Lepisosteus oculatus: one gene and its partners. The protein of the gene in region 2 purifies or fractionates together with the protein of the main gene of each other region. This does not show direct contact. Links are inferred from orthologs where the notes say so. Each region holds a gene or a part of one and is shown on either strand. Other genes may lie near its edges.

Region 1 (6,896 bases), on a different chromosome or scaffold from region 2:
AGCATTACAGTAGTCGAAGGACTACACCGACTTGAAGGAGTTAAACTTTTGGGCCCAGGCTCAGAAGGGAAGCAGTGAGATCCAGACTCTGAAATCTGAACGACCGATTAACAGAAAAAACACTTGATTCAAGTTGCCAGATTCTAAAGGCCCTGACACAGTCAGCCCAGCGAGCTTCTCTAGAACGGGCAGTGAAACACAAGCCAAAGGACACCGATGGAAACTGTGTCAAAGTCCATGTTGTGGATGTCTGGAACAAGCTACCCAGCTATAATGTTGAAGCCGATATCTTGGCTTCTTTCAAGAAACAGCTGCAGATCCTTAGTTAAATTAGCTACTAAGTACTAAATGTGCAAATTGGGCTGAGTGGCGTCCTCTTGTTTGGAACCCTTCTCGTGTTGTAACACCTGTGTGTTAAAGCAACACTGCAAGATTAATGTAGGGGAGCTGAGTTACCTCAAACATCTTTACTGTGCCTGCAGAACAGGTGACAACCTATCACAGGGTTTCTCTAACTGCTTCACTCCACACAGCACTGCATGTGAGGACCAGCAGCCCATTTTCAAGGCAAAACCAAACTAGACCAGAACCTGGGATTCACACAGTGAGAGCCTCTCCTTTGTGATAGACTGGGCTGTGTGTATCTCTGCTGTGCAGCTCAGTAAGATGGGTGTCAACAGCATAACACAGCATATTCATATACTGTACTTCAGGCTACTGCAGTGTCCAGTAAAGCTGGCATTTTGGACATGTCGCATGCGTTAGATAAATGATCATTCTAGAAAGAGTGATCAGGTAACTGATCTGGAAATGTGCCAGCAGTCAAACAATCACAGAAGCTTTCAAAACATGAATCTCTTGTTTGCAGCTATCGCATACTGTCTTCCCCATTGAAGTACATCCATCCTTCCATTTTCTAATCTCTTTTTCCAGTTGAGGGCCACACTGGAGCCAGACCCTATCCCAGCTAGCCACAGGTGCAAGGCAGGACACACCCTGGACAGGACGCCAGTCCATCACATGGCAGACAGACACGAACCTGCCAATCGACTCAACAGTATATGTTCGGACTGCGGAAGGAAACCAGAGCACCGGGAGGAAACTATACAAACTCCACACAGACAGCACGGCAGGAACCAAACCCAGGGCCCAGCGCCGCAAGGCAGCCCTGCTGTCCACTGCGCCACAGCGCAGCTCATCCCACCGAAGAACACTCCTCGTCTTTTTGCGGAGGACCTAATGAAATTATCATCATCGGATTTATAGCACTGCCACTTATTCAAAGCGATATCTATTTGTATGGACATGCCTCAGAGTTAGCTCAAAACATGACACTGAACGCCGGCATGACTCTGGGTCACAGGGGCTCATGAAAACATTCCGGGTCCACTGCGCTGTCCTGGAGCAAGATCACAGCTGACTGACAGGGGCTGAAGAACCAGCGGGACAGGCGCTGTGGGCAGCAGGCTGAGGGTTAACTCCCAAAATAACACCCAGTACCACAGCCTCATCACCAGGTCCCGAAACCCTTCTGACCCTCTGTCCTCTTCGGGCTAAATCAACCGATGCCCCATTCTTGGAGTCTATCTGCTACATGAACCCAAGCGCCCCGTGGACAACTGATGTAAACTATTCAGGTAGAAGTACAGGAGCCCGTGATGGAGGCTTAATAAAAGTCCTTCTAAAGGTCAGGTGTCTCATGTTGAATAAGGACATGCTCATTCTGTAATTACTTTTGCCTCAGGTTTCTGCTCTGACGCTGATCTTTAACTGGTCTTATGATCGTGTTATCCAACGGATGTTCATTTCGAGGGGCACAGAGGACTCGGAAACACGAATCCGAGCTGCTGACGTCCAAGAGCTGGACCTAATTCAACCACGGAGCCCAGCGATGGTCATTATCTCCAACTCGGAAAGCTCACAGGAGCTCGGACTCCGACAGATCTCTCCCCTCGCCTGGCACCTTCCTGCTGGTCCCAACCCCGAGTGAGCTCTGAGGACTGAAAACACCTCCCACAGACTACAGCCACTACATCACCTCGCTCAGAAAAACTCAAGTCCGTATTCTCTCTACCACACAGTTAAAGTTTAATTAAAAAAAACAAGCACCCTTCTGCCTGTGTTTTAGGTCGTACAGAACTTTCCCAAAACCGTTTCATGTTAGCAGCCTGACTATAGTCTGGGTGTTCGAACTCGAGTGCTAACAGTGTACAACTAATAAAAGCCCCTCATTCCTGCAGTTTTACTCTCAGAGAGGAGGACAGGGCAGAAGGGGGCTCTGTCTGGGGCGGCTGGCTCCGGTGAGCAGCGCAGTGAAGCGCAAAGAAACTTTCGTCAGCGGCTATTTTAGCGTACACACCTAATAATAGATTTTCCCATGTCCACACACGCCCCAGTCACCTTTCGGAGAGGAACGTAGCCAGGCTTTCAGAAGAAACAAAAAGGGATGAGCTCCATCAGCATAGCAAACAAGCGCTTTCAGCTCCCGGACCGCCTGGTCCCGGCACCGGGACAGTTTTAGGAAGCAGCACAGCGGGGGTGAGGCAGTGAGCAGCACTGATTCCCGTCAAGGCTGTCCAACAGCTGAAGAGCCGCTCCGTGCCTGCACTGCCCTCCCCGCCAGCGCCAGGGGCACACTGGCCGGGAGGGACCGCAATGCCGAGACCATATGAGCGGCTGCCGGATCCACAACTTTGCAGAAGCGCTCCAGAAGTCTCCGGGAGAGACTGATTCAGGGAGACTCCCTCGGGCAGCTCCGAGTTTGTGGGAGTAGCCATACCGGGAGGCTCTGAGCTCCGCCGCCCTCACCAACCCCGAGGGGCACCTGCTAGCCCGCCCTGCGCCCCGGCGGGTCCCCGCTGGTCCTTACCGGAGTGTGGGTCCGATGCAGTTGGTGTCCGTACTCTCGATCTCCCGCAGGATTCGTTCGTGCTCCGCAGCTATCTCCAAACTCGCCATCTTCCATGTCCCAGTAACGCCGCTCCGCTGCGTCACCTGAAAAACAAACCATCCCACGCGAGGGGGGGACTCTGGGAAAGAGAGTTTTACGGAGGGGGAACGTTAAGGAATCTCCCATGGAATGAGCTGGGGTCAAGGACTACAATTCCCGTGAGTGCTCTGACTAGGGGGGGGGGGGGGGGGATAAAAATGGATTATGGGAAATTGAGTTTCGCTGCCTTTTCTACAATAGGCGGACCCGTGCAAAGATACTTAATGTTATAAAAAAAAACAACCCACACACACGAAACGTGATATCTGTATTTGTAAGTTTTTATTCTTCAAGGAAAATGCTCTCAAGAAATACATTCATGCAGAATGCTGGTTTGTTAAAAATATGCGTTGTAAAAATAAATGTGATATCCTTCAAACTTTTACATTGAAATGTTGAATTACAGAATTAATATTAGGAATCCTTTCCATGATCCTCTCCATTTTCTAAAATTCTGTTCTCTGATTTAATTCGTATTTCTATTCCTTGATTTCTTTTACGATGATGAAACATTATTTAAATATTTTTTTCACGATCACAAGAAATCCTTTCCATTCATCCAAGAAAAATCGAGCCAACGTCTCTGCCTAGCGGCGAGGGTGCGTACAGCACCTGCCTGTACTTCGACGTGTGCGGTAGCGAACATCGCAAAACGCTGGTCGATTTGTACGCGGGCGAGAACTCTAGTCAGGAGCAGGCAGTGTCGCGGAAAGCAACTTTAAAGAGTAATCTATTACAATTACAGGTAACTTGTGTGAAGAATTGCAGTCTTCATAGATATTGGTTTATGTAGTTTGTTTACAGGTACTATGTGGAGTAATGCATTACTTCTTAAAACTAATTTCCCTTTGTCTAAATTTAACAACTTTATTGGAGTGCTTTATAAATATAATTTTGATGAGTTATATAAAACACGAGCTGGTTGGGCTGAATGACTCTCTCTTTTGTAAATGTATCTACGTTTCTAATAAAAAATAATCCGTTATTAAACCGCTAAAACCATTGAAAACAAATGTACCATTTACTGTACATCATCCAACCACGTAAATAAGTATCAGGAAGCTGCTGTGTTAACGAGGGCACTGTCAAGCAAAAAAGATTTAACAAGACAATATTTGCACAGTCAGAATCGTGGAATCAGATTACAGTAACGACATTGCATAGCTGGCTACCTCCCAGTGTGATCACCGGCAGAGACAATCCGCTAGGACTCAAACCTGCTCTCCTGAGACAAAGCCTGTGGAACCTGTTGTCCTTCTGCATGTTTCCTTCTCAGATGTAAGGAGGATCAAAGCGAGAGTCACACGCTGACGGCTTTTCTGCCCTTTGTTAGAGAAGTGAAGTCAATGCGCTGAGGAGGACAGAAGGAGGAGAGTCGCCCGGCCACTGGAACCTCTTCTGCTTTGGGATCAAACCTGTACCAGACAGGTCAAAATCTAAGCTTTTCAGTTTGAAGGCAGCAGATAGTGAAGGAGCGAGAGATTCTTTTTCACTGGCTGCTGAAAAACAACAGCAAAAGTTGACATTTTCTTGTACTATCCCAGCAAATGAAATGGAAAGAGCTGGGCCAAAGCAGTCAAAGCAAGGCCTTACAAATGGCGAAAGTGCTGAATCAATATTTCACACAGGAGCTCACTGTGAACGAGGAATCTGCCCTCGAACTGCAGGGAAATGAAGTCTTAGCCCTGTCACCTTCCGTAATCTCGGCAGAGCAGAGACTGTAGTGGACTAGGACAGGGGTTCCCAGTCTGGTCCCTGAACTGGACACTTCCTTGTCTCACTGTTTGACTTTCCCAGCTCTTGTTGGAGGTTGTATTTCAACTATTGCAAACCAGCAGGTTTAGGGAGGAAAAGGAAAGCTAGGCTGCAGCTGTAAGTGGTGTTGGGGTCCAGTAGGTGACAGGGTATGGTGACAGCTGACACAGCTTTCCAGTGTCTCCCAAGGGAGAGGTGTGAAACAGAGGGCCTGACTGCTCAGTGGTCAGAGGTTATGAAGAGCCAACCCCAGTGTCCCAGCTGAGATTCCCACTGGGCCTCTCGGACGGTCCCTCTTCATTGAAGTGAAGGAATGGCTTCGCCTGGAGCTTCGCTTCTCCTGCTCAGGGCTGCTGGTACATCGTGGCCTCTGCATGGCACCAAGGCCCTTCGGTGTTGGAAGACGCGGGCCCCTACAATTGCCTGGGTAAACTCTGCATTTTAAGGGAAATACTGTAAATGCTCAGATTCCATGCACAGCTTGAGTACTGAGTACCTGTCACGATCGGGGTCCCTCCTCTTCATGGCGTTTTAGTTGACTATGTGCACCTGCCCCCTGTTTTGTGCCCCGTTATTCAAGCCTGGTGCTCACGCTGTCCCCGGCTCAGCCCTGGGAGATGGACGCCACAAGGCTTGGCTATTCCCCGGGCTCGCGGGCAGCCCAAGGGCAGGCCGTCTGAGTCTGGGGCTCGGAGCACCTGGCCTCGTTACTCTCTTTTAACTCCTTGTTCTTGTTCCGGATAATGTTCCGGATTTTAACCCTGTCTTGTCTTGGATGGATCACCCAGTTTTGGGATTTTGGACTGCACCCCGGATTTCCCGTTTTGGACTTCCCTGGACTTGTTTGCCTTCGCCACGTCCCCCAAACTGGATCACCACTGTCACCACCCCCTGTCTGTCACCCCTGCTGTACCTTCCCCTGATGTCCTTCTCCACTTATTTTCCAGTTTATACCATCTGCAGAGGGTCCTGAACTACGCTTCACGGGAGCCTGGATCGGCTCATGGTACAGTATCCCTACTCATCATGGGGCGAACAACACCACTCCATGCATTGAAAAACAGTCACAGAATCAGAGCAGTGGCAAGGCCGTGCACTCCTTACAGATACTACACAATCAAATGGAAGCACCCATGTAAAGTCACTCCGCAGGGCATTAGGCCACCATGAGCTTGCAGGACAGCCTGCATGCTCCTCCAGCATCTGGAATCCTGCAGTAAACGCTGGACCGCGCTCAGAGCTGGTGACTGAGAAGGCCATGACCTCAAGCCACAGGTGTCAAGGCTGTAGTCTGCGATGCTCTTGGCTCTTGTCCCTCCCTCTGCGAGCAGGACTCCGGCTGCTGTCTGGCGTGACGGCCGAGGTGCAGCCCAGGACTGCTCAGCTCACCAGGCACAGCGCTAAAGGCAGGGCCCACTCTGTGCATGTTCGCACCCGGAAACGAGACCCTGAGATGAAGACCTCAGTCCCTGCAGGAGACCAGAGCCAGCAATCTGGAATTAAATTACACCATGGACCTTTTCCTGTCTTAGTCTACCAAAACAGCTCAACTCTGATGGTTTCCTGCTGGTTCAAATGAAAGGTTCAGCCTCCTCCTGGGTGTAATCAGTCGTACTGTGTTCTGTTTTGCGGTGTTGTGTTTCATGTAGAGTTCAAGAGTCTGACTTTCAGCCTGTCTAGAGGAGGAATAAAAAGTAAATAATGGAGCACTTCCTCAGGTGTCAGGGGAAACTACAGCATGGTCCACTGGCACTGTCTTTATGTTTCACTCCCTGTCCATGGCGAGCGCCTGCAGACAGGATGACCTGCTGTCTGACCTGTGGGTCTACTGTAGGATGACCAGGCCATCCCATGACACGCTGGAGAAGACCTACAAGTCTGGGACCAAGGTCCTGCGGTCCAGGCTGCCCATGTGAGGCACTGCCTCCTGACTCTTCACTGACTGCGACCTGTTCTGCGCTGGGAGAGCGACAGAGGAGGCCCTCTGGAGGACAATGGTGGTATGACAGGACTCTTCACTACTCAGAGTGGGCCAGGCAGAGAGATCAGAGGTGTAAAGGAGTTTGTAGACCCTCCCTAGTGGCACGCAGTTGGCTGAGCATCACCAGGCGTGGGTGCAATTCGGATTGACCAGGGCTCTTCTTCTTTCAGT
Region 2 (7,771 bases):
AAACAACGGCTGTGGGTTTAACTGTATGTCCTATTCGTAGGGGTGCCAACTTCACTGCGCTCTAAACAAGGCACAACTAGACCAATAAAAATTCTTCATGGGCCTTAAAAAGCCAATGAATTGAAAACATGCTGGACTGATGATGCCTTTTAAAGAGTTTAAAGGGCATCATTTAAAAAAAAGTTTAAAGTCCTAGGCCATAAGGAATATACATTTTAATTACAACGTATGCAAGATTTTTTTTTGAGGGAAAAGGCTTTTCTTATCATTTGCTTTTTAAGATAAAAATAAATGAGTTAACAGAATTGCAACCTTAATGACTACAACCCCTCACCACACATTCCCTCCATACAGTGCAAACTCAATACTGAAGCTGCATGCAGTGAAAGAGTTCCAGGACAATCGTGGGGTACCCTGGTTGCGGCCGTATTCTACCAGCCAGCCAGAGATGCAGATGATATCCTGCAGTGTGGCCTCAGGCAGGTGCTCCAGTGTGACCTCTTCCTGCACATCCAGGTCCTCATCGGTTCCAATCAGATCCAAGATCAAGATGGGCGGCACAGGTTTGCTGTAGCGGGTCAACAAACTCCGGAACTCAGCCTCCAACAGCTCCTTCCCCTTCTCAAATCTCGCTTTCTGGGGAAGGGAAGATGACAGGGTAAAACCAAACTCCTTCTTTAACAAAGGTCCTTTTAAGAATGTGCATCAGTCTATCAGGACAGTTGAGCTTAGGAGGTACTGCCATTGAAAAGCTTCATCCTCACATTCTTAAAATCATGACCTCATGTAACAGAGCTGGCAAAGATGAGCAACGGACAAAATAGGTGTTGCATTAAAATACACATCTTGTCTTTTTCAGTACAGTACAGAAATCACTCAGATTCAAAAGAGACATGAACAAATTGTAATATTAAACACATAAAAACAGTGTTTAGATTCAAAAAAGGGGCAGGACTTACAACTGTGTTGAGCTCTGGGCTATCAGGGTTATTGTCCTGAAAATATTCCACTGCTTTCTGGATTTTCGCAATACAAGCAAGGTACTCATCCAGTCGGCCTGTAGGGCTGAAACACACACTTAACTGAGTATAATAAACTGGCAGTCTCAAAACGTGCACCTGTTTTGCATCGATTTAAGTGAAACCAACACTATTTTCACACTCTTTCAGTATTCAGATTTATTAATGTTTTTGCAAGCAGACTAAGACCTAGATTAAATTAAATCGCATTATCTGGTGATTTCTTGCAAATTGCAAATAACTACCCAGGTAGTGGACTACCGCTTTTTAATGAAGTTAAAGGCTTCTTCCTTCCATTCAAACGAAAGAATTACTCATCTATGAATTGGCTTCATTACTCTACTCTCCTCCCCACTGATAGCTGATGTGTGGTGAGCGTTCTGGCGCACTATGGCTGCCGTCGCATCATCCAGGTGGGGCTGCACATTGGTGGTGGTGGAGGGGAGTCCCCATTACCTGTAAAGCGCTTTGAGTGGAGTGTCCAGAAAAGCGCTATATAAGTGTAAGCAATTATTATTATTATTATCTTGGAACGGTGGGTTTGGTTCACCCAGAACACTCCCAGCCCCTCCTCATGCTGGACACCACGCCTCACCCCTCTTTGATGATCTTGTCTGTGTCCTTGGCCACGTGGTAGTAGCTGATGACGTGGTCCAGGCAGGAGAGAGTCTTCTCCACGTTGTCCTGCAGCCGCTGCAGATTCTCTGTCTGCTTGTGCACTGGTATGATGGAGTTCTCCAGCTGCATGAGGCGGCTCTCAAAGGAGGACAAGATGGAAACCTGCAGAACAGCGAGGCAGCGTAGGGAGAGGGTTGAGGTCTTTAACCAGAGTCGAAGCTGCAAAAGCAGTTGCATTCATTTTTTTTATCCTACCCACTCTTATTCAGAGACAAATCAAAAGAACTATGAAACCTGAAAGATCCAGTGGACCACAGGACCATGAATACTATGGACACCCCCAGTATACTATAATCCAACAAATTATTTCAGTGCTGCTTTGTTACCAAAAGGCAATTCCACACCAACCCAGAAAATCAGACTGTATAACCTTGGGATAACCACATAAGTCTAAGTTAAAAACAAACATATAAGGCACTGGAGAGCCTCATTGTTGTTTGGCTTTACGTCCATCTGTATAGCCACTGTTTCTACATTTTTACTATTTCAGGATTACAAGTTAAAACTTGGTGCCCTGCAGTCCTACACAACCAGGAGAGAACATCACTGATCTAAACGGTTTTCTTACCATTCCTTTCGTCAGCTGATCACTTTTCTCCAGGTTTTCACGGATGAATGACAACGTGTCCTGCTCCTGTCGAAGGGTAAAAATATAACAGAGGTGCTGGAAAGCATGTTAATCACACCTTATATTCTGTACCTAGAGGGCTCCAGCCCTGGCCGTTAGGAACCAATGGGTATTCTTGTTTGAACTGCAACCATTGTCTCTCAATTGCTTAATTAGGCCAACTAACAGTCAAAATGAACATGATCTTTAACCACTGACTGAAACCATCTAAAAAGCCCCCATTGTACAGGGGTGTGGCCGCCTCCGAGCTCAAGCGTTAGAGATCACTATGCTTTGACAGTAGAAATCTCCACATACTGTACTACCATTAACAACAATGAACTTTTGCAATTAATACAACTTGGAATGCACACAGATGCGTAAACTAATGTCGGCAAAGAATGTTTTTTTTTTATATCCAAAAAGGAAAATGAATCACAGTCCTTCAAGATGACTGTGAACAGATGAAAATACTCTAAAAGTGCCGTTGATCCTCTACAAACCTGTTTGAGTTTCTCTTCTATTTCTCTCTTCCTAGAGGATGCGTCCTCCGTTGGAATCATCCTGCTAAATGACTGGTTAATGTCCTTATTAAAGTAAAGTATTAGTGTTTATATTTTTGATTCTAACAATTAAATGCACTTGAACCCCTACTCATACTAACAGGTTTTGCTTCCTGTTTTTCTCTTTCGACCTTCTTCCGTTTCCGGTTGGCAGCAAGGCAGTACAGAACCTCTCCGTACGGTCCGGTGTTTCCTTCATTTTGGTTGTGGCAAGAATTGCATTTGAAAAGAATTTTTTGTTATTTCTAAAATTGTTGCGTGCGAAACATTTTTGTTAGGGGATTAGTGAATGCTGCAATAAAAAAGAGTCTCACTTTATTAATATTTTGAACTGAAGTCATTTAAATCACTTTGAATTAATGATTATGGACATACTATTTGGTTGTTTTTTTTCTGTTTAAACACAAATACATTATTCCGTGTACAGTTGTCGTCTTATATAATATAAATTCTAATTTTTCAAGGTGATTTTATCGTGTTGGGGTTTACCACAAAATAAACCTAATGCAATTCTTGTTCCCCTCACATCGTGTCGCTGTAGGATGGCCATTAATACGAGAACTTAAAAGTACAGCGCTTAATTTTTTAAGATAATCCTTTATTTTGTTAGGAACTAGAGTACAACAATCACAGCTGTCCAATTACCGAATAGCCTGATAATATCGATTGTGATAAATGGGGAAAAAAATGTTATTGTGCTCTTTTTTAAAGGGCGATTATAAACCTTTGGTAAGGCTATTCCTGGTAAATTCTAATTATGCAGTGTCTTACACTACAGAAGCATCTGTCTCGATGACTCTCTCAAAGTTTGAGTGCCCAGGAAGTATTTAATTTTAACAAGCGCCCATAGGTTGCTCACGGAACTACAGCGTTTTTTAAACGGACATCAACTTTTATGTATAGGTATACAGATACTGTTGGCACAAATAATATGTAAGAATAAACGGTTTAAATATGAATCTATCTGGTAATCGAATTAAACTGAATTTTGGGAAAACTTGGGTATTACCTACATAGTCCTGTGTTTTACACTTCCATGGCATATAATAACTCAGTGTTATGATTAATAATCTGAAAAGTATCTAATGTTTAATTTTACTGTTTACTCAAAGTGTAACATTTCTTTTTTAATAATAATAATTGCTTATATAACGCTTTTCTGGACACTCCACTCAAAGTGCTTTACAGGTAATGGGGACTCGCCATTGTACTGGGGCATTAGGACCCACGCAGACCGCAGAGCGAGCGCCCCCTGCTGGCCCCACTAACACCTCTTCCAGCAGCAACCTTAGTTTTTCCCAGGAGGTCTCCCACCCAGGTACTGACCAGGCTCACAGGCTCAAAATCTTCTTTTAGCTTCAGAAGAACAGAAAGAGAAATTGTATCATTATAGTGCTGAGAGAAAACTATACACCCAGATTTTAGAATTGTTTGTTTGCGCCCCATGCGAAGGTAAAAGAATGCTTCAGCTACAGGTAGTGCCCTGGCACGTGGTAAACTGGGTGCCCAAGATATGGAATACAAGAGTCACGAGCTTGTTGACTTAATGATGTCATTAATGATAAGGCATCATCCAGGTGGGGTCTCCACATTGGTGGGGGTGGTGGAGGGGAGGCCCCATTACATATAACGCGCTTTGACTGAAGTGTCCAGAAAAAGCGTTATATATCAGTGTAAGGAATTATTTTTGTGATATGAAGGATGAGAGATTTTAGTCGCGGGCGATTGAGCAGTAATTTTGCACGTATATCATTTATACTATTGAAGTTACTGTTGCATAATTTAAACGCCTACAGTAGTCAGTGGATTAAGTGGGTCAATTCCATCGCAATGCGTTAAAAAAAAAATCGCACTCAGCCTTAGCGCATTTTATCAAAGTAACCGGAGAGAGGCTCTCCTGGACATGGGGGCGGGAACCGCTTGCTGTATTCCAAAAACATGTCAAAGGGCGTCTAGTGTCATTAAAATGTATCGATACAGTCGGTAAGGTGGGGGGTAATAATATGATTATTGATAAAAGTAATCTAACATGACAGGTTGACCCAGCGAGGATTATACACTTCACAACCACCGGATTCTATGCCCATATGTGTATTTATTTTGAATTGCGGTAGATAAATTGATGTTTACTTGCACTTGTTGACACAGCAATGAGAGTAGGATCTGAAGGGGCGTCCTGGGGTCCCGCAGTGGAGGTTGATACGCCTGGAGGAGCTGTGCGCCTTGCTCGAGCGCCGAGCGTGCACATGAAAGCCTGGAACCCGGAAGTCCCTCATCCTGGATCCTGCTCCCACCTCATTCATCGCCTTGGCAGCGAGAGAGCCGGAGGAGGAGGAGGAGGGAGGGTGGTGAGAGAGAGAGAGAGAGATTATTTAGGGATCAAAACAGGCAGGCTTGTCTTGACACCCGAGGGGAGGAAAAAAAAAATGGGGAACTCCGACACCAAGCTGAACTTCAGGAAAGCCGTAATACAGCTCACAACTAAAACGCAGGTAAAGGACACGGGGAACGATGCGTTTAAAAAGGGAGGCAGCGTTGTCGGCTCACATATGCAGCCTGAAACGCTGGGTTGATGGAAAGCACTGAGGAAAACGGGACCAGATGGTACACGAACATCAGAGAAAGGATGGATCAGACGAGCCCAGCAGACGGATTTCTTTGAAGAAAATAAATAAATGACGCGTTTTCACAGTAATCGGGCGCGTTAAACACAACGTGAAATAAAAACTGTGGCGTTTTCTGTTAAATTATGTGCGTTTTCTGCTTTCATATTGTAAAAGGTATCGCTTATTATAAATGCAGTCTGACATGGGTTGTAAAAAGATGTAAATAACAGATTTTACCGTTGTATACAATCTGTTATAATTGTCGCTCTACAAAATCTGGATTTTGCATGCGTTGTGTGTGGGTGAAAATGAATTAAAAAATCCCGCACCCCCATCGGTAAATAAAGAGGTAGCTAGTTACTGTTTCTAGGTAGCTAGTAGTAGACTATTCCTAAGAGCTTGATGGGCCTGGGAAATCATTTTCGATAAACGATGGGGAGATTGGTCTTTTTTTCCCACTTCGCATGCGGGTTTCTACTAGTAAATCACCGATTGATCGCGTACATTTATTAATTTTCATATACCGAGGTTTTTCTGTTAAGCGAGCGCACACCTGGTGAAGGTGTTTCAAGGTGGACTCTGAGACAGGGGTTCGTGGATTTACGATAAATAGGAAATTAGAACAGCACTGAAGTCAGCCAGTAAAGAGGGTAGTGTGTTGATATTTGTTTAAATTAAATCTGTAATTTCAAAGACAGTCGTGTATGCTTCTGAGGTCTACTGTACTGATGACGTGTTTTAATCTCGCAAACCTGAGCGGCAGGTGCTTGGTTAAGGTGGACTGAGTGAGATAAGAGAATAAGCAATGACATACTGTTTATAGATGTTATGGCGGCTACAATATTCGGGCAAGTAGGTTAGTTTGCTGTTCGATTGTTTTTCTATCGTCTCATGCAAATGTATGTACAAACTGAGTGATACAACTCAGGCTTATTATTTGAGTAGTCTACATTTTTTTTTCTTATTTGAATCTCAATTTGACTGTCAACGCTTTCACCTCGGGGGGGACTCAGAAGCTTTAGACACGATTCACCGTTTCTAGAGACGAATATCTTAGGTTGTTGTTCGCTATTCTGATGTGGACACACAAAAATAATAAATGATTTAATTTCGTTAATCTGTGCCTTTCAAGATTGTTACGTGAACAAATATTTGTACGTACTTGTATCTTACCGAATCAAAAATGCATAAATCGGTATCTATATCAAAGTTTTTCTTAGTGTAAAACTCATCGTGTGGTGTCGTTACTGGTGAGTGAAGCCAACCAATTATCTGTATGGTATGTTTCAGTGGAGATCGGCGTCACCATGCGTTGGCTGCAAAGGAATAATTAAAGGTTAAGAAAAGAGAAACAGACATTTCATCTGCAGGGACTTAGACTTCCTCAGGTCATACAGATTGCGTTTCTCCTTTCCATTTTCCAGCGTACTTCTTCCCCTGTGTGTTTTACACAAGTTCTCAGATCCAGAGATGGTTCTTTCCCTTAGAAATTGCTTATGTTTTTGTATTGGTACTTTAACTGACTTCTGGGATAATTGGCTCTAGGTGTGAGCGGGTATGTCTGTGCTCTTGTCTTTCTGTCTGCTTTGCTGTAGACTGGCATCCCATCGGGGGGGGGGTGTCCTTATGGTGTATACAGTCATACTTTTGTCACTTGCATTGGTTAGCATCTTGGTAAAAAGGGGTAATTCTTTCTTTTGGTTTACTTTCTATGTAAAAGCACATTTTCTTTCTGGGAAGTGTAATTCATGTTCTCTTCTTTTTTGGGGGGGATCTTTTACTCCAGCCTGTGGAGGCAACCGACGACGCCTTCTGGGACCAGTTTTGGGCTGACACGGCTACCTCAGTGCAGGATGTGTTTGCCCTGGTGCCAGCAGCGGAGATCCGAGCGGTTCGCGAGGAGTCTCCCTCAAACCTGGCAACCCTCTGCTACAAGGTACTGAATGTCTGGGGGCAGCTGTCTGCATTCTACCTGGGCACAGGTGGCAACAATCAACGAGCCCCGATGTCCATGGTTCAGATCATTGATTTGCACTGAGATGTAGTGGTGCTGGGTTTCACCCAGGCTGGCAGAGAAGTGTGTCTGAGTTTGGGCTGTGGAAAGGGAGGCTGTCTGTTCCCTGCAAGGCAGTGAAGGGCTTTCTCCCAAACACTTTTGGAGTGCAGGAAATGAACCGAAAGCAGACTTTATAGTAGTCAATGGCCTATGTTAGTCAGCACTGGATGGGTTTTATTAACTTTTATAGATTTTGTTTTATTGATTTTCAAACTGCAGTTTAAAAGTAGAGGATGAGCAGC
Region 3 (7,380 bases), on a different chromosome or scaffold from region 2:
TTTTGCATAATCTCTTTTTCTGAAAATTAGTTCATATTTGTAAAGCGCTATGGCACAAGAGAGAGTTAATAATTTCACTTTTATTTCCATGCATTATATGCCATTTCAGGGTTCATGAAAATGAAAAGACTTAATTTGAGGTTTTGTTAGCCAATGAATGCTTTGGCAAAAATGAATTAGGCAATTTGTTTCTCCTCCATGCGGTTATTTGAAAAAATGTAAAAGGTTCTGACTGTTAGATGAATATTCCCTACAACAGGTATATATTCCAGTATAAACAGCTTGACAAGAAATACTTTTCAAAGCTGAAGAAATACCCACAGCAAGGGGAGGCTGGCAGACATAAGATTATTGTGATTTTAGAACTTTCTATAAGTGTAATTTACTCACCCTGGACACTTTCTGCCTATCAGCTCAGAGATGTCTTTTAAGGCAATTTTGTCTTTTTGTATTTTTATATGACATATATCCCTTAGCAGAACCAGAAAAGGAAATGAAATCAGCCTCACATGCTGTACAGAGATGAGTATGAAGTGAAAAGAAAAAAAAAATCAAAGTTCAATACAGCTGATGTAGCCATCTTCAAGAATTTAAGCAGAGAAAGTAACATCACCTTAACTGCTGTCATTCTTTTTTTTAAAGAAATTGCAAAAGCAATGACAGAAAATTAAACATAATAAGTTACATTTCCAACTGGCTAATGCTCACAAACTGATTCTCTTAGCAGAAACCCAGCTCCCACGACACGCGACCTGAGCAATGAAATCCCGCAATCACTGGAATTGCGCTGTGAAATTCTGTTCATGGGTTGGAAAACTGTCCTCTTACACTAGAGAGGTTGTACTATCAGGGTTGACGCGCATCATTCGTGACCCATTCCTTAGTTCCTGCAGTTGCTTGGCTGGCTTCCCCACTCCTTCTTCAAATCGCTTCTCCACCACAGGAAGGACCGTTTCGTAGAGGAAGGATGCGTTCTGAACGATAAAGGCTTTTTTCTCAGTCTCCTGCTCGCATCGCAGGCTGTAGTCCACATGCTGAACAGCAACCAGAATTATTTCCCGCAGGCTCTCCAGGAGCACCATGTGCAGCTCAGGGAAGTAGAGCTTCAGCCCTTCCTCCAGGAAGGCCATCATTTGCTTGGTAAAGGCAACGATGGTGTAGCTGAGATTTACCCAGCAGTCGTCACCAGTGTACTGCTCAAAGCTGCCCACCCCACAGTTGCGCATCTCTTCTTTCAATTTCCCTAGGGCCTCAGGGGTCATCAAGTTCATTTTGCGCCACATTTCCTCAGAGTTGCGGTGCTTCGTGGCCTCAATGATGATCTCCTTATAGCTGTGAAGGGCAGCTTTGATGTCTTTGACTAGGAGAGACTGGAGGGTGAAGGTGAGGTCCAGACCAATTTCACTTAGTTGCATGCAATGTTCCTTTGCGACCTTCACACACTCGGCAGCAGTGGAGAGGTTCTCCTTGCTATCAAAGACCTGCTTGCTGAAGGCATCCACAAACATCCTCATGGCTGAACGAGACCACACCACAAATGCGGAGTAGCACCCAGTGTTCCCAGCAAAGTCCATCTCAAACTCCTTGGCGGTCTCAAGCAGGCTGGTGAAGAAGATGTTGCAGAGCTTGTGTATGTACAGCAAGGTGGCACCCTCGATACGCAGCTGACGGATGGCTGTTTGAACGGCAGCTGCCCTGTTCTTCAGGAAGAGCTCACAGGCCTTGGTGGACTGGCCCAGACGGATCAGCTGGGAAACTGCGCGCCGTGTGGCTTTGGGGCCACCCCGCAGGGACCGGTCTGGGGAGAGCTCGAATACCAGGACCTCGGTCAGCTGCCGCACCCTCTCATCTACCTTGACCCTCAGCTCCTTGACGGCCTGGTTCACTGGTTGGTCTTTCAGGTACTCATTCAGCTTGTCCAACAGGTCTACAGCTCCTTCAAAGTCACGCTGTGCAATGCAGACATCTAGATCCTCTGGCAACTCCTGAATCCATTCTAAGCTCAAGTCCACAGTCTCCTGCAAACCCATGGCCTCTTCCTCATCAAAAGGGTTGTTTGACACTTCTTGTCGCACTGGGGAATTGGGTGTCTCCTCCTCTTTCTTGTGCCTCTCCTTCACTGCCTTATTTTTTTTGGTTTCATCCAGAATCTCCAGCCACTCTTTCTTAATCTTACTGTTCTCTGCCTGGAAGATCCTGCTATCTGGAAACATCAAGATTTTGAACATGTCTTTCATGGGGGGGTTGTCTTTCACATTGACTATAGCAAAGCTGTCCAGGTCGTACAGGGCGTTGTACTTGTACCTCACTGCACCCCGTCGGTTGGGAAGCCAAGTAGCAATGAGAAGGCAATCATTCATCAAAAAGGCATGAACCTTTTGGATTTGGGACATGTTATCAACATCATATTCCAACAAATCTCCGTTATAAACTAAATACCTTCCAGGGGTCTCCATAATGTTTTTACAGCCCTCTACTTTCTCCAGAAGTGTTGTTAGCGTTCTCTGCTTTAACTCTTCGGTTTCCTTCGGGAAGGCAGCCAGCATTTCCTTCGCAGCTTCATCTTTGTCCGTGGAGAGCAGCGTCTGAGTGATGCTCTCCATTATACTCTTCTGTTCGGTTAGAATGTGGCTGAGCTGATACATTTCGCTCTCCAAATAAGAAATTTCTTTGGCAGTCTCGATAAACTGTCTGTAATTCTTGTAGACATTCTTCTTGAGGTTTTGTGCCGTCTCATCTGCCAGATTTTGTATTTTTTGCCTGTGCTCTTGCAGGTCTCTGTCACCATCTGACTGCTGAGAGAGCTGCTTAACATAATTCTGTGGATCGAAATTTGGCGATTCCAGTTGCTTACGTAGTCTGTTTGCAGTGTCTGCCATTTCCCTTTTCACAGTATCACTAGTGAAAAAAAAACTCGTCAGGTTTATGTTTATACTGCGTGTCCGAATTATTTCACGGAAACAGCCGGAAACCTCTTACAATAACAAACTGACCAACTCCCAGTGAAATCATAGGACCTTCTTTTTTTTCTGGGTGGCCAACAATGAGGTGCTCTACAAAAAACAGAATTCAATAATTTAATAAAAATATGGTTCCTTGTGTAATAAAAAAAGAAAAATAGTTTAATAATTCAACAAAAGTGTGTTTTTTTTCTTAAAAATTCAGATAATCTCCCATTATCATATTTTTTGGAATAAATTTATCACCATGAACTCCGAGTAAGTACATAGTAGGACAATGATATACAGGAAGAAGACGAGGGAGGGTAATCGTATCCCAGCATGCAGTTCAATATAGCAGCTGTTCATTTTTTATTCAACATAGGTGGTTGGTTTTATACACTCGGGCTGTTAAGTTTGTTTTTTAAAGATAAGATGTTACACTTTTATGTGAATAGCAATGATTTTATGAAACTGCCGTCATGTCTTCATTGAAAAAACACAAGAAATAGAGATGGGGAAAACTAACTTTTTTTTCACTTTGACGATAGCTAACTAGTAATTAGCTTCAGTGAACAGTGCTAGTATTGGGATGTCAATGGACGAGGATTTCTTGCTAGCTCTTCAGTTACAGGACCAATTTGATCAAGAAGCGTCCGTCTCCATCGTTGACGACGATGACGATTACGTTCAAAATAAGAAGAGGAGAGTGGAAACCAGTGATGAGCTTGTTACTTACCCTCGGTCCTCTTTTAGACCTGAGAGACCGCTGTCCATAGTGGACGAGTCGTGGGAGATGCTGGACCCCAGCCCCGATGTCAGGGCGATGTTCCTGCAGTTCAACGACATGTTCTTCTGGGGCAGACTGGCCGGGGTGGAGGTGAAATGGAGCCCACGAATGACACTGTAAGCCACCCAACTTTTCCGTTGCTTGGGAATGACATCCAGTATACCCTGGAGATGCTCCGCTGCCACGTTTTATATTCCAACATGATGTTACTGCATTTCATAGTCGTTCCGCTAAGTACCCGTGATAAATAATGTCGAACAGATTCATACCCCACGTTTATATTTCAACATTTCAAAAACTGTAGCTAATGATAGATTTAAACTCCTTTAAAAAGAAAGTAAGACTTTTTTTAAAGAGTTTTATTAGCAGTTCGATCCATGTATGGTTTTGTGAGCTTTAAAAATCTACCGAGTATTTTTTTGCTCTTCTTATGTGCATAGATAATTAAAATACTAAAATTATCTGCTTTCTGCTTAATCCGTTTAAATTGTGTGGATGATTGGCGTTTGTAAAAGTCTGCCACATAGTTGGAAGAAGTCTTATCTGATTCTCATGTTGTGAATATAACGCTTATATAATTATATAATATTAAATATTCCTATATCTATTGTATATACAGTACTATATATTAGTATTACTATTATTGGAGTGGAGCGCACTTTAAGGCACAGTAGGACAAGTGTTAAAAATTAGGCTAGCTCTTGAATAGTCTTGAATAGTCCTGAGTACTTCTTGATATTTAGTTTTCCAGATATTTAGATTCGTAAACATTAGACTGTCATTTCAAAAGTTTTTTTTTCCCTTCTCATAAAATACCCTAGTTTTTTGGGGGAATGACGGAGTTATACAAGTTGAGGCTACTGCTATTTACTCAGATGCAGGGGTAGACATATTTGTATTTGTATGCAAGTCTGATCCATTTCAGATTTTGTGAGCTGTATGCTTTTGATAAATGAAACTGATGACACAAGTAATCAGATATGCATGTGTGTGTAAACAGGGTATTTAGAATTTATTATTTCCAGTTTTGTCTCTGCAGTTTCCTTAAATAAGGTGACAAGCTTTAAATATCCTGCAAGATCCTACCCTTCACGGAGCCTAAAATCTGAAATGGCTCTAACTGCTGTGAAGTGGGAGTGCGGGATGGTTTGAAAGGTGCTGTTTTCCTGCCACAGGTGTGCAGGTGTGTGCTCATACGAAGGGCGAGGAGGCCTGTGCTCAATCCGCCTCAGCGAACCGTTGTTGAAGCTCAGACCGCGGCGGGACCTGGTTGAGGTCAGTCCTGCCGGTCTGCTGCATCGGCTTGCGTTACCTGTGGAATTTCCAAGGCTAAACTAACAAAGCCCCACAGTCTTGTGCCCTTGTTCTTTATTTTCTGAATTTCTGAATTCTGAATTTCTGAAATCCAGTAACTTTTACTTAGAAGTGAATGAAAGGACAAGTTGAGTTTGTCGTTATTGCCAAACAAGTTAACTGAGCATCAAAAGAAACATAAGCCTTACAACTGCAACCCTTACCATCAGGTGCACTGATATTTTATTGACCAGGTTGTTAATGCTGTCTTGTGCAATTGTGTCCCATTACTCTGAAAGAGCCTAGACACACATCACTGGGCTGGTTCACTGGTCTCTGAGCCCTAGATGCCAAACTTTGTCCCAGCTCATCCAGCTGGTCTTTAATGGGGCTCACGTGAATCCAGGATGCATTCAGTTTATACTTTCTGAGCCCTCACCAGTCTGCATATACTACCACTCTAAATTTCCTATTAAATTCCTACATTCACTGTATTACACACTTAAGTGATTAAGTCAAGGCATTTGTTTGCAGTAGGTAGTAAATACGCATCTCCCTCTGAGTTTTCAATGCTGTCACATGTCTGGAAAAGTGTTCAGTGCACTGAACTTAAGAAAGTAGAAAAGGTTATTTTTTTAAAAGTTCATGACATGAGTATGACTGAATATTTGTGTTTTTTTCCAGACGCTCTTACATGAGATGATCCATGCGTTGCTTTTTGTCACTCAAAATAACCGCGATCGGGATGGACATGGACCAGAGTTCTGCAAGCATATGAACAGGATCAACAAAGCCAGCGGGACCAACATTACTGTAGGTGACTGATGGGGAAGAAAGCACTTTTTATATAAGAACAACATTAGAGTTTGTTTTTCAAAAATAAAAATCAGTTATTTAAAAGGTCCTTCAAATTATTTCAGTTTTTTGTTTTGCGTTAACACCACAGTGAGGTTTTGTTCTTAAGTCATAACGTTGATTTTTTTTCTTGAACAAGTCTTGGATTTATTTAAACCCCAGCCCCACTGAGGAGGGGAGAGAACAAAAGTAAAAACAAAAGAGAAAGAAAAGAAAGAAAAACAGGGAGCAAAAGGTACTAAGACAATCAATATGAAACATCAGATATACGAGCAGTGTCCAAAGCCAACATTGTAGCAAAAAGTACAGGGTGCTGCCAAGCTTTCTTTCTAGAAGCAAATTATCATGTAAACATCCTGACCAAACACAAGAAAAAGAAATCAGGCTCTATTACATATCATGCCATAGCCTTTTATGCTGCAGTTATCGCTGCTAAGAAAACTAATTTGTAAAGCATTAAAAGTCAAGAGCATTGAGTTATTTCATATCTCAGGAGATGGGGGATGATATTATCCCACATATAGCTCAACACAGACCTCACATATTTCCAAAATGTATTAAAATGTGTAAAATAAGTGCCCATTACCCCAGATATAGAGAGGCAGGGAAGATCTGTTGAAACTCATCTGACCTCTCTGTCTATGGTAACATAGGCCCTGTGGATAAACATGGAACTAATAAGGTGGTGTGCCAGGTTTTTGGATGATGATGATTATAATAATCCTTACAGGATTACAGAATTTCAAGTGGCTGCTCTGCTCAGAGCACTTTCCAAGTAATGGAGACTCCCCTCCACCACCTCCAATGTGTAGCCCCTACCTTGATGATGTAATGGCAGCCATAGAGCACACAGGACACTCACCACACATCAGCTATCAGTGGGCAGGAGAACAGAGTGATGAAGCCAGTTCATAGATGGAATAATATTACCCCAGATATGACATGTGGCTTAATGTTAGTTTATTCTTTTCTCTTTGCTGCAAAACTGTCATGTTATGTTTATGTGCTTTATATTTAGCTCTTAATAAATCAAAGGAATATGTATATTTACTATAAATATATAGGAATATTCTATTTTTGCCTAGTTCTGTTGTGTATTATGCAGTTATCACTTAATTTTTTATTTTAATGTTTTTGAATAAAGGAACTACATTTTCTTCATATTACTTTATTGTTGGCTGCAATAGTATATAGAGTATGACATTTAAATTTGTTTAGGTCTGCACAATGCATTTTTCAATACATAACCATTATTTTATTTTCAGTTTTTTCTGATTATTTTAATGATCTTAAGCGATGCAATCATTCAGAGTGATTGTGAAGTTCTTGAACAAATATAACACACAAGGCTATCCTGTAAAGCTTCACATTTTTATTCATAATATTCACTGCTTTTAGGATGACATTTTCAAGTGCCTAGATTTATCCATGTCAATTTCAAAAAAGAGAGGAAAGCAGGTTTTACTTGTAAAACATGAGCTTCCAAGCAAGAAGACAAACTGC
Region 4 (7,771 bases), on a different chromosome or scaffold from region 2:
TGAGAGCTTTTTACCATGTTGCAATTCATCAGAGAGGAGACCTAAATGTTCCTCAAGTGCCTTTTTATTACACTGCCATTTGACAAAAACGACAATAGCTTTGCATACAAAACCCTTTCAGGGGGCTTTGAGTCTCTTGAGACTTCTGCGAGTGGAAAGAGTTTCAAAACAGGAAACGTACAGTGTCAGTGTTTGTTCATTTTCTTTTCTCAAAGAAGGGCAAAGAAGGCACTGGTGGAATGACCCAGCACCGAGATTCAAAGCAGACAGTGAGAGACATTTTAGTTTATTGATACCAGCTGTAGATTTACTGCATCTGTCCTGTCTAATAATGGGCAATCTTCCCCAATACATGCCACACTGCTGCACCAGTCTTTGCAATTCGAATGGTTCTATTTCCGATCCCTCCATATGAGAACAGTTTTCTCAAGTAAAGACCTGTGATACCAGTAGAGCAATGTCAAAGCTTTTCTCAAGAGTGAGCTCTAGGAGAATCAAAGTAGATGGGATCAAGCCAATAGGGGAATACTGAGAAGCTTGTGAACACCATATTTTAATTTAAAAAGCCACAGTGCATCTGTGCAATGAGGTTCTCACTTCAATGCATAGCCCACATGTTATCTTTTTAGCCACAATTCTTTGCTCTCTAATTCTTCAGCTCTTCTTTATTCCTCTTGTACCTTGTTCCTGTGTTCGTACTACCTCACACTACCAATAACAGACATTTACGTATGATGATCTCTGTTATTTGTCAATGACACTGTTTCAATTTATTTAGCACTTCATATGAGAAACGCTGTGGTAGCTAAGAATACTCTTCTTCAGACTCCCTCTTCTGGACGGCCGCTGTACTACGGCTCTCCTAAACCAAGCGGTCAAGCAAACACAAACAGACATCAGCACCTGGTAAGCGAAGATATCACGAAGCAAGAAATAATACGTTCTTGTATTTACCTGTCAGGTAGATTTCAAAGCTTTGATATTGATTCCAGACAGTCAATAAATGCAGTACACCTTAAATGGCCAGTAGGAGCCTAACTAAACTATCTAATCTCTAGATTGACAGGGAACACAATAAACTCTGAATTTAACTAACTGCAAACACTGAAGATGCAGGCCTGTCTCATTAAAGAGCAACTTAAGCTATCAAAACTGTCTAGGGTTTTGGCTCTGGTCACAGAACAAGGTCTGCACAATCTTAGAATCTCTGTTAAGATTAGTCAGACAGAGGGTAACACTTTGTCTAATAGTTGTTCCTTAATATTAATGAAGCCGACAGGATAGACTCTTGAGACGGGTTCATTGTTTAAGAAAAGGATTGTTTTGCCTGTTTGAGACAGATGAAGGATAAATTCAGAATGTGCAGAATGTAAATCAGATTTAGGAAAGACATCACATCAGATTAGTTTGAGATATTATTCTTTTGATCTTTCATTTTCAGTTTTAGACAAGAGCCATCAAACAAAAAGAGTAAAATATATATGCATTAATGTGATGTTTACATATGTACATGTGAAAAGAATAGATCGGGGTTTTCCCATTAATTAGAACATTTCTAATTGTATTCCCTATAAATGCAAGATTATTTTGAAAATATAAATCTATCAACAAAATATTTGAATCATGCAATGTACTGGGCGTTTTAATTTTACAAAATATTGTCATATGCAGACATATTTTCGCAATTATTATACATGCTCAAATAATATTTCTGAGTGAAAGGCTAATTATTTCAAATTGAAACTTCCGTAATCTGCTAACGCAGGTAAGGGTCTTTCCTCCTATTTCAAAGTGCCAACTCGTCAGTGTCAAGGCTGTTAAACCTTCATACTTTAGTTTGGTACCAGACACCTACTGCTAATACGTGAGGTTTAATGCTGCTGTTCAGGAGGCAAGACTGTCACGATCGGTTAGGATTTTGGTTCGATTCCTACTGGGGTCCAGATGCAAAAGTTGCTGTTATTCCTTTGTCTGCCTGGATATCCTCCACATATTCCGGTTTCTTTCCAAAGGATTGCGATCTGGGATATCGAAATTGTGTTTGTGGCCTGCGATGGACTGTCGTCCTGCATGGGTATAGTTCGGCTTTGCACCAGATGGTACCGGGATATCAACCGGGAAGACGCAGCCATTAGAGGGAATGAGTTAAGGATAACATCACATTTTTAAATTGTGACTCATGTGACAAAAGAGTGGCTAACATAGTTCCACAAAACGCCAAGATCAGCGTTTCATAAACTTTGAAACCTTTGAAACTTTGAAACCTCAAAGTTTCAAAGCTCTGAGACAGTGAAAGTCCAAACGGGGGATGGAAAGAGTTAACAAAAATATCTGCATCATTTATCTGATCAGAAAAGAGAGGGGGTTTCAGTTTCCTGTGATACCATAATCTGCGTTTCAGAAAGGTTTGGGGTGGTGGTGGAGGAGGAATGAGGGGAGAGGGGGGTGTGAGGAGAGTTGAAGCAGAAGAAGAAAGAAATGTTATCCACAGGCGTACGTGGAAGCCCTGACCTGCAATATTCAGGATTCGAGGATCCTGGCTTTACTGGGATATTTTTTCTTTGATTTATCATTAACGCTGACACTGTATCCGCCTGATAAATGACCTTTGCGAGAATGTCAGCACACGAGTTCCAACTTACAATACGATCTAGCCGCGCGGTGTTCCTGTGCTCCAGAAACGTTTCCTTTACACGCATGTCTTGTTTTTCTCGGTACAATAAGGAAACCCCCATTGTTAGGGCTTCTTTTGAAAATCAGTAAAATGTAGATTAAAGATAAATGTAAATTTGCTTACATCACCTACTCGGTTCTGTACCTATTGTGTAGTATGTTTTACAGTGAACAAAATCAAGTCATGTACATGTGTGTAAAGCATCAGACATGTTAGGGATTAAATACCAAATTTTATGAGGAAAAACGAATATACGCTTTTATAAAGTTTGGGGATTATACAGTAGCTGCCTCCCGAGGTTCATGTTTAATAACCATACAACGTCCATTTTGAAATTAAGTAGAAATAAGATAAGACATGCAAAGAAAATGTTGTATTTTTGAGAATAAGATTACTTTTAGAGAAACAGAAACGATTACTTATTCTCCTATTTCAGCACAATCCCTACAATGACAATGACTATGTTTTCTCCTAATTTTTGGATGAGTACATTTAAGAGTTAACTGAGATTTAAGATAGTTATTAAACAAATAAGCAACTAAGATTTTGATTCTTGGATTCGGAGGGTTGTGGATGACAAGGGCATTGCTTTTCCTTCTGCTGTGTGATTTTGCTGACCGCAGCAGGAAAGCTATCCAGCCCTCACCAAAACTCCTTCTCTTATTCTGAAAGCTCGCAATGGCCAACAAAACCATTAAGTCCCTATCACCCAGTGTCCTGGGGGAAGAGAATCGAGAAGATAAAGTGTATGAAAATTTTTTTGCAGAACTAGAAACACTTGGCTTACCTTTGGGAACAACTCTAAGGTAGGGATCTTAAACCCATTTTTAAAGTTAAAAGCAGGAAAGAAAAGTAAAATGCTAAGTGTGTGCTCGTGTCTGTTATTCCTGGAACTTAAATGGCAACTCTTTTCAACAATAGCCGCATTTAGGAAAATAGAAAAATAGAGTAAGAGTCACGGAATGGACTGTGAACTTCTGTGAAGTAATAATTAAACCGAATAAACTGTGGTGTTTCCTGGTAGGACGTTCGAACAAAAGTACGCTGTCCTTCAATTACTATCACTCTTAAACTGAGATTTTTCCTAATATTATATCCGCTATTGCGCATTTTTAAATTAAGAAAACGAACATGTTACGGGTTGTAGACTGTTGTACTCGATTCGGGTTAAACACGCTTCATTGAAATGTGTCTAAGGAGATCTATTTCGCCACTATTTTCCCTATCATGTTTAATTATACCAAGGGACAAGTATTTTTGTTGTTTCTAACTGACTAGACCATACTCTTACAAGAACAATGTACTGTTTATTTCTCTTTTCTTAGTAGGTAAATGTATTTCTTCCCAAGGGATTGGAATGGAACTTTAAACATTAAGATAGCATCATTTAATCTAACCGTACTATACACTGAATACAGAAATAAGGAATCCTCTTGTGATCCATTTTTTTGTTCTGTGCTACATATTATTTTCACCGCAGTGGAGCAAGGCGAGGATAACTCCACACTGTGAAGTGAAAAGAAAGACGACAAAACCACAAGTTTCGTGTGTGATGCCATATTCACACACCTGAAGTACTCAACATCTAGCACATTGTGTTTTCTTTTCCTTTTACGTCGCAGAATGTATTTCTGTTCTTTAACGTTCCCAGGATGTTCTTTTTCTCCAGAGCGCTGTTACTTGAGTAAATAACATTTTATGAAACGTTAGAGTATTTCCAATTTGAGAGAAAAAGGGTGCATATGTGTGAGTGCACGTCACTCTGAAAAAAAGATCATTTAATATGATGCCAATTTACATGAGACAAACATTAATAAATACTGTAAGGTAGCCCTGTAATGAAAACATTCAACAACCAATCAAACGAAGCATAAGTCTTTGTTTAAATGGGAATGTTTATTTTCTGCAAACGTGAATCACCATGTGTATGGCGGTCCATGATTTTATGTTTGAAGCAGGTAAGAACACATAGGCTACATACTCTGAACATGCTTAATCCAGCAAAATCAATTCTTCCCCTTTGGAACACCTGCTGCCAACTTCACCGCCGACTCGCCCCCTAGCGCCGACTAGAGGCAGCACTCTCGTTCCCCGCAGTGTCACTTTGTCACCGAGAGCACAACAAACATGGCGGAGACTGCAACCTTGGAGAGTATCACCGAGCATGAACGTATCCTGCAGGAAATCGAGAGCACAGACACTGCCTGCGTCGGCCCTACGCTTCGGTAGGGAGAGAAACGTTTTGCCGTGCTCACCTTCGTTGAATCATAGTTGTAATTTCTACCTAAGACCTTGCAAGTGTATTAATTTAGCGGCCGGGCCTTTGTTAGCTATTGCTGCTAACCAGCTGAGCTTCCTGAACTGCGGCACAAGCAGTCGTCTGCTTCTTACTTCCTAGTTTGAAATAAATACTAATGCAATTAAACAGCACAATGTCTCGTTACATTTGTATACTATGTTATCGATTTATGTCTGTATACTTAAATAGTGCCAACAAAACGATAACCCGATAGTTATTTTAAGAAATAAGTGTTAGGGATTTACAAAACTGCAAATTGCAAGAGTAGGTAGTGTTTAAATGAAAGGGAGTAAATGCATATAGGCCATAGGACCGTTGTTTCTGCATATAGCGGTTCAATATGAATTTATGTATGCTTGTTATTGTCTGAAATATACGATGGGAACAGCTTCAGTACGACTGTGTACATTTATCTTGAGAAATTCTGTAGAGATTATAATAATTTGGTCTCAGAAACAGTTATTATAAGTGGGTGTGGTGGGATATCTGAAGGTTGTTACACTACACAGAAAATAAACTGATGCTGTTTCGATAAGGGGTAGCGCTTGCTTGTGATCCCCTTCTCAGTATCCGTTCAGCACGATGTTGCTAGCGCGTGATTTCGCGTTTGGAGAATGTTGATTAAAAGCGATTCTGAATGCCGGTTTCTGAAGCAAAGCACAGATAGTATTAACTACGGCGTAATAAATATAGAAAAAATCTAGGTGGGACATCCATTCAACCAAGAAATCTTGACTGTAGCCTGCTTGAGACCTTCGCTCGAAACAATTGCAGAACAAACCACGGGTCAACTAATGACGGCAGACATTTTTTTTATTTAAAAAATGTTAAATTCCAGGAGGGTTAATTATACCTTTGAACGTGTCTTCTGAAGAACAAAGAAATATTTACGTCTAATTAAAATGCATAAGAAAGGAAGGGGGTGTTTAGGAAATTCAAAAAATCTCTTTTGGCATGTATGGGCATGTAGTGCCTTATAACGTCAAAGCTCTGCCGAAGCAAGATGAATTAAGGATGGTACCGATTCCCTGTCCTATTTAGTGCATAATATATTGTATGGCATACCTTATAATAGTTCAAACGCACGCTTTTTTTTACAGTTGCTGTGAGTCTTCAGAGTACTGGCATTAGACGTTTTGCGTCACCTGCTGCAAGAGTTATTGATTTCATGAAATACACATACCTTTAAAAGCACAACGGATACACCATCTTTTGGTAGCTAACGAAAATGCTCATCGAGCAACTAGTTCATTTTACAATTTGAAGGCGGAAAATGTATTTTTGTGTGTCCCTCACTGAAGGGATCGTTTCTCCCATTCGTTTATCTGTGAAGTAGGTCACAATTACCGAATCGCCCTGATTTGTGGAGGCGCTCTGTGGGTTTCCTCTTAAGCACACTGTAGATCTGATTTTCAGTGTTGGTGCGTTAGATTTTTGTGGAGTTTTTCTGTTTCTCTTCCTTACTGGTAGGAGTTTCTTTTTTGTGGAAAAATTCTGTAATGGGAGTTTAGTGCTCCAAATGTATTATGCATTTTCGAGATTGTGTTTAAATGCACAGTAAAAATGATATAACCGTACCTATGTATCAGGCTTTACAGTCTAGCCATTGACATTGGCACAGCCAGTTCTTTCTGATTGTTCAGATGAGTTAACTCAGTGGTCTAGTGAAGGAGATGGTTTTCTCAGGTGCACTGAACTGTACTGGAGTGGCTTCAAGCCTCAGTATGGCTTTCACAGCATATTGAAAGTATATTGGATGGAAGAACAAAAAGCTAGTTTGAACAGCTTGACTCTGAAAACCTTAGTGTCATCGTTCGTGCATTGGCTGAAATGCAGTTGTTCTGTGGTACATTACAACATAACCATCCATCTGATTTCTAACTGCTCCAGCCAGTTCAGGATCACGGGGTATCCGGAGCCTATCCCATCAAGCAACAGGCACGAGGCAGGAAACACCCTGGATGGGATGCCTATCCATCAAAGGGCACACATAGACACAAACACAGATACACACACCACGACCAGTTTTGTGTATCAGATAGCACCCTAGGTCTGGAATTAAGCAGCAATGCTAATCACTGCACCTCCATGCCATAACCAGATTTTCCAATACTCATGTGCAAATTCAATTCGAATAGATTTAAGATTGTGTTAACCCCAGTTCATCCAAGTGAGACTTGCTAATCACTCCTCTTTCAGATACTGTTTAGCTCACTGTTAAATTCACCTTTTAAAGTCCTTAATCTTAAAAGGTTGCTTAAATCACAGGTGGGAATCTAATTGGCTTTGCGTATTGACTAGGGCAGGCCTTTTGACATGGAAATATGTAACACTAGCTAATCCACAGAGAATAACTGCCGTGTAGAAATGCTCATGGTGAGCACCTGCTGTACTGGGAGTGGAGGTTCCGGACAGAGCATTGCTCACAAGGATTGCATCAGTTCATAACTGCTGTGGTTTCATTGTGGACTGGGGGACTAAAATGTATCGTAATTGCATTGTTTAAAAAAACTGGTTTACAGTAAGGCCCAGAGATATAAAAAGAACCTGAGAAAAATAATAATAATAATAATAATAATTGCTTACACTTATATAGCGCTTTTCTGGACACTCCACTCAAAGCGCTTTACAGGTAATGGGGACTCCCCTCCACCACCACCAATGTGCAGCCCCACCTGGATGATGCGACGGCAGCCATAGTGCGCCAAAACGCTCACCACACATCAGATATCAGTGGGGAGGAGAGCAGAGTGATGAAGCCAATTCATAGATGGGGATTATTAGGAGGCCATGATTGG

What was found.
Region 1: the proteins of exoc7 (region 2) and exoc6b purify together in Homo sapiens (affinity purification with mass spectrometry; 3 studies listed by BioGRID and IntAct, with this or other methods). This does not show direct contact. The link is inferred for Lepisosteus oculatus from reciprocal best matches to the Homo sapiens genes EXOC7 and EXOC6B.
Region 3: the proteins of exoc7 (region 2) and exoc8 purify together in Homo sapiens (affinity purification with mass spectrometry; 4 studies listed by BioGRID and IntAct, counting the BioPlex papers as one, with this or other methods). This does not show direct contact. The link is inferred for Lepisosteus oculatus from reciprocal best matches to the Homo sapiens genes EXOC7 and EXOC8.
Region 4: the proteins of exoc7 (region 2) and exoc6 purify together in Homo sapiens (affinity purification with mass spectrometry; 4 studies listed by BioGRID and IntAct, counting the BioPlex papers as one, with this or other methods). This does not show direct contact. The link is inferred for Lepisosteus oculatus from reciprocal best matches to the Homo sapiens genes EXOC7 and EXOC6.

The regions. Positions count from the first base shown.
Region 1 is NC_090696.1:2,756,361-2,763,256, forward strand, and holds the start of exoc6b (exocyst complex component 6B), read right to left. Parts: upstream 3,009-6,896; 5' UTR 2,959-3,008; coding exon 2,870-2,958; intron 1-2,869. UniProt on the Homo sapiens protein: Component of the exocyst complex involved in the docking of exocytic vesicles with fusion sites on the plasma membrane.
Region 2 is NC_090704.1:43,129,477-43,137,247, forward strand, and holds the start of exoc7 (exocyst complex component 7), read right to left. Parts: upstream 3,010-7,771; 5' UTR 2,868-3,009; coding exon 2,808-2,867; intron 2,332-2,807; coding exon 2,266-2,331; intron 1,800-2,265; coding exon 1,615-1,799; intron 1,066-1,614; coding exon 960-1,065; intron 637-959; coding exon 414-636; intron 1-413. Other genes in the region: protein HID1b, read left to right, coding at 5,294-5,359, 7,260-7,409. UniProt on the Homo sapiens protein: Component of the exocyst complex involved in the docking of exocytic vesicles with fusion sites on the plasma membrane.
Region 3 is NC_090697.1:55,327,703-55,335,082, reverse strand, and holds the start of exoc8 (exocyst complex component 8), read right to left. Parts: upstream 3,023-7,380; 5' UTR 2,880-3,022; coding exon 825-2,879; 3' UTR 1-824. Other genes in the region: DNA-dependent metalloprotease SPRTN, read left to right, coding at 3,532-3,845, 4,905-5,004, 5,707-5,835. UniProt on the Homo sapiens protein: Component of the exocyst complex involved in the docking of exocytic vesicles with fusion sites on the plasma membrane.
Region 4 is NC_090699.1:23,699,252-23,707,022, reverse strand, and holds the start of exoc6 (exocyst complex component 6), read left to right. Parts: upstream 1-4,766; 5' UTR 4,767-4,801; coding exon 4,802-4,899; intron 4,900-7,771. UniProt on the Homo sapiens protein: Component of the exocyst complex involved in the docking of exocytic vesicles with fusion sites on the plasma membrane.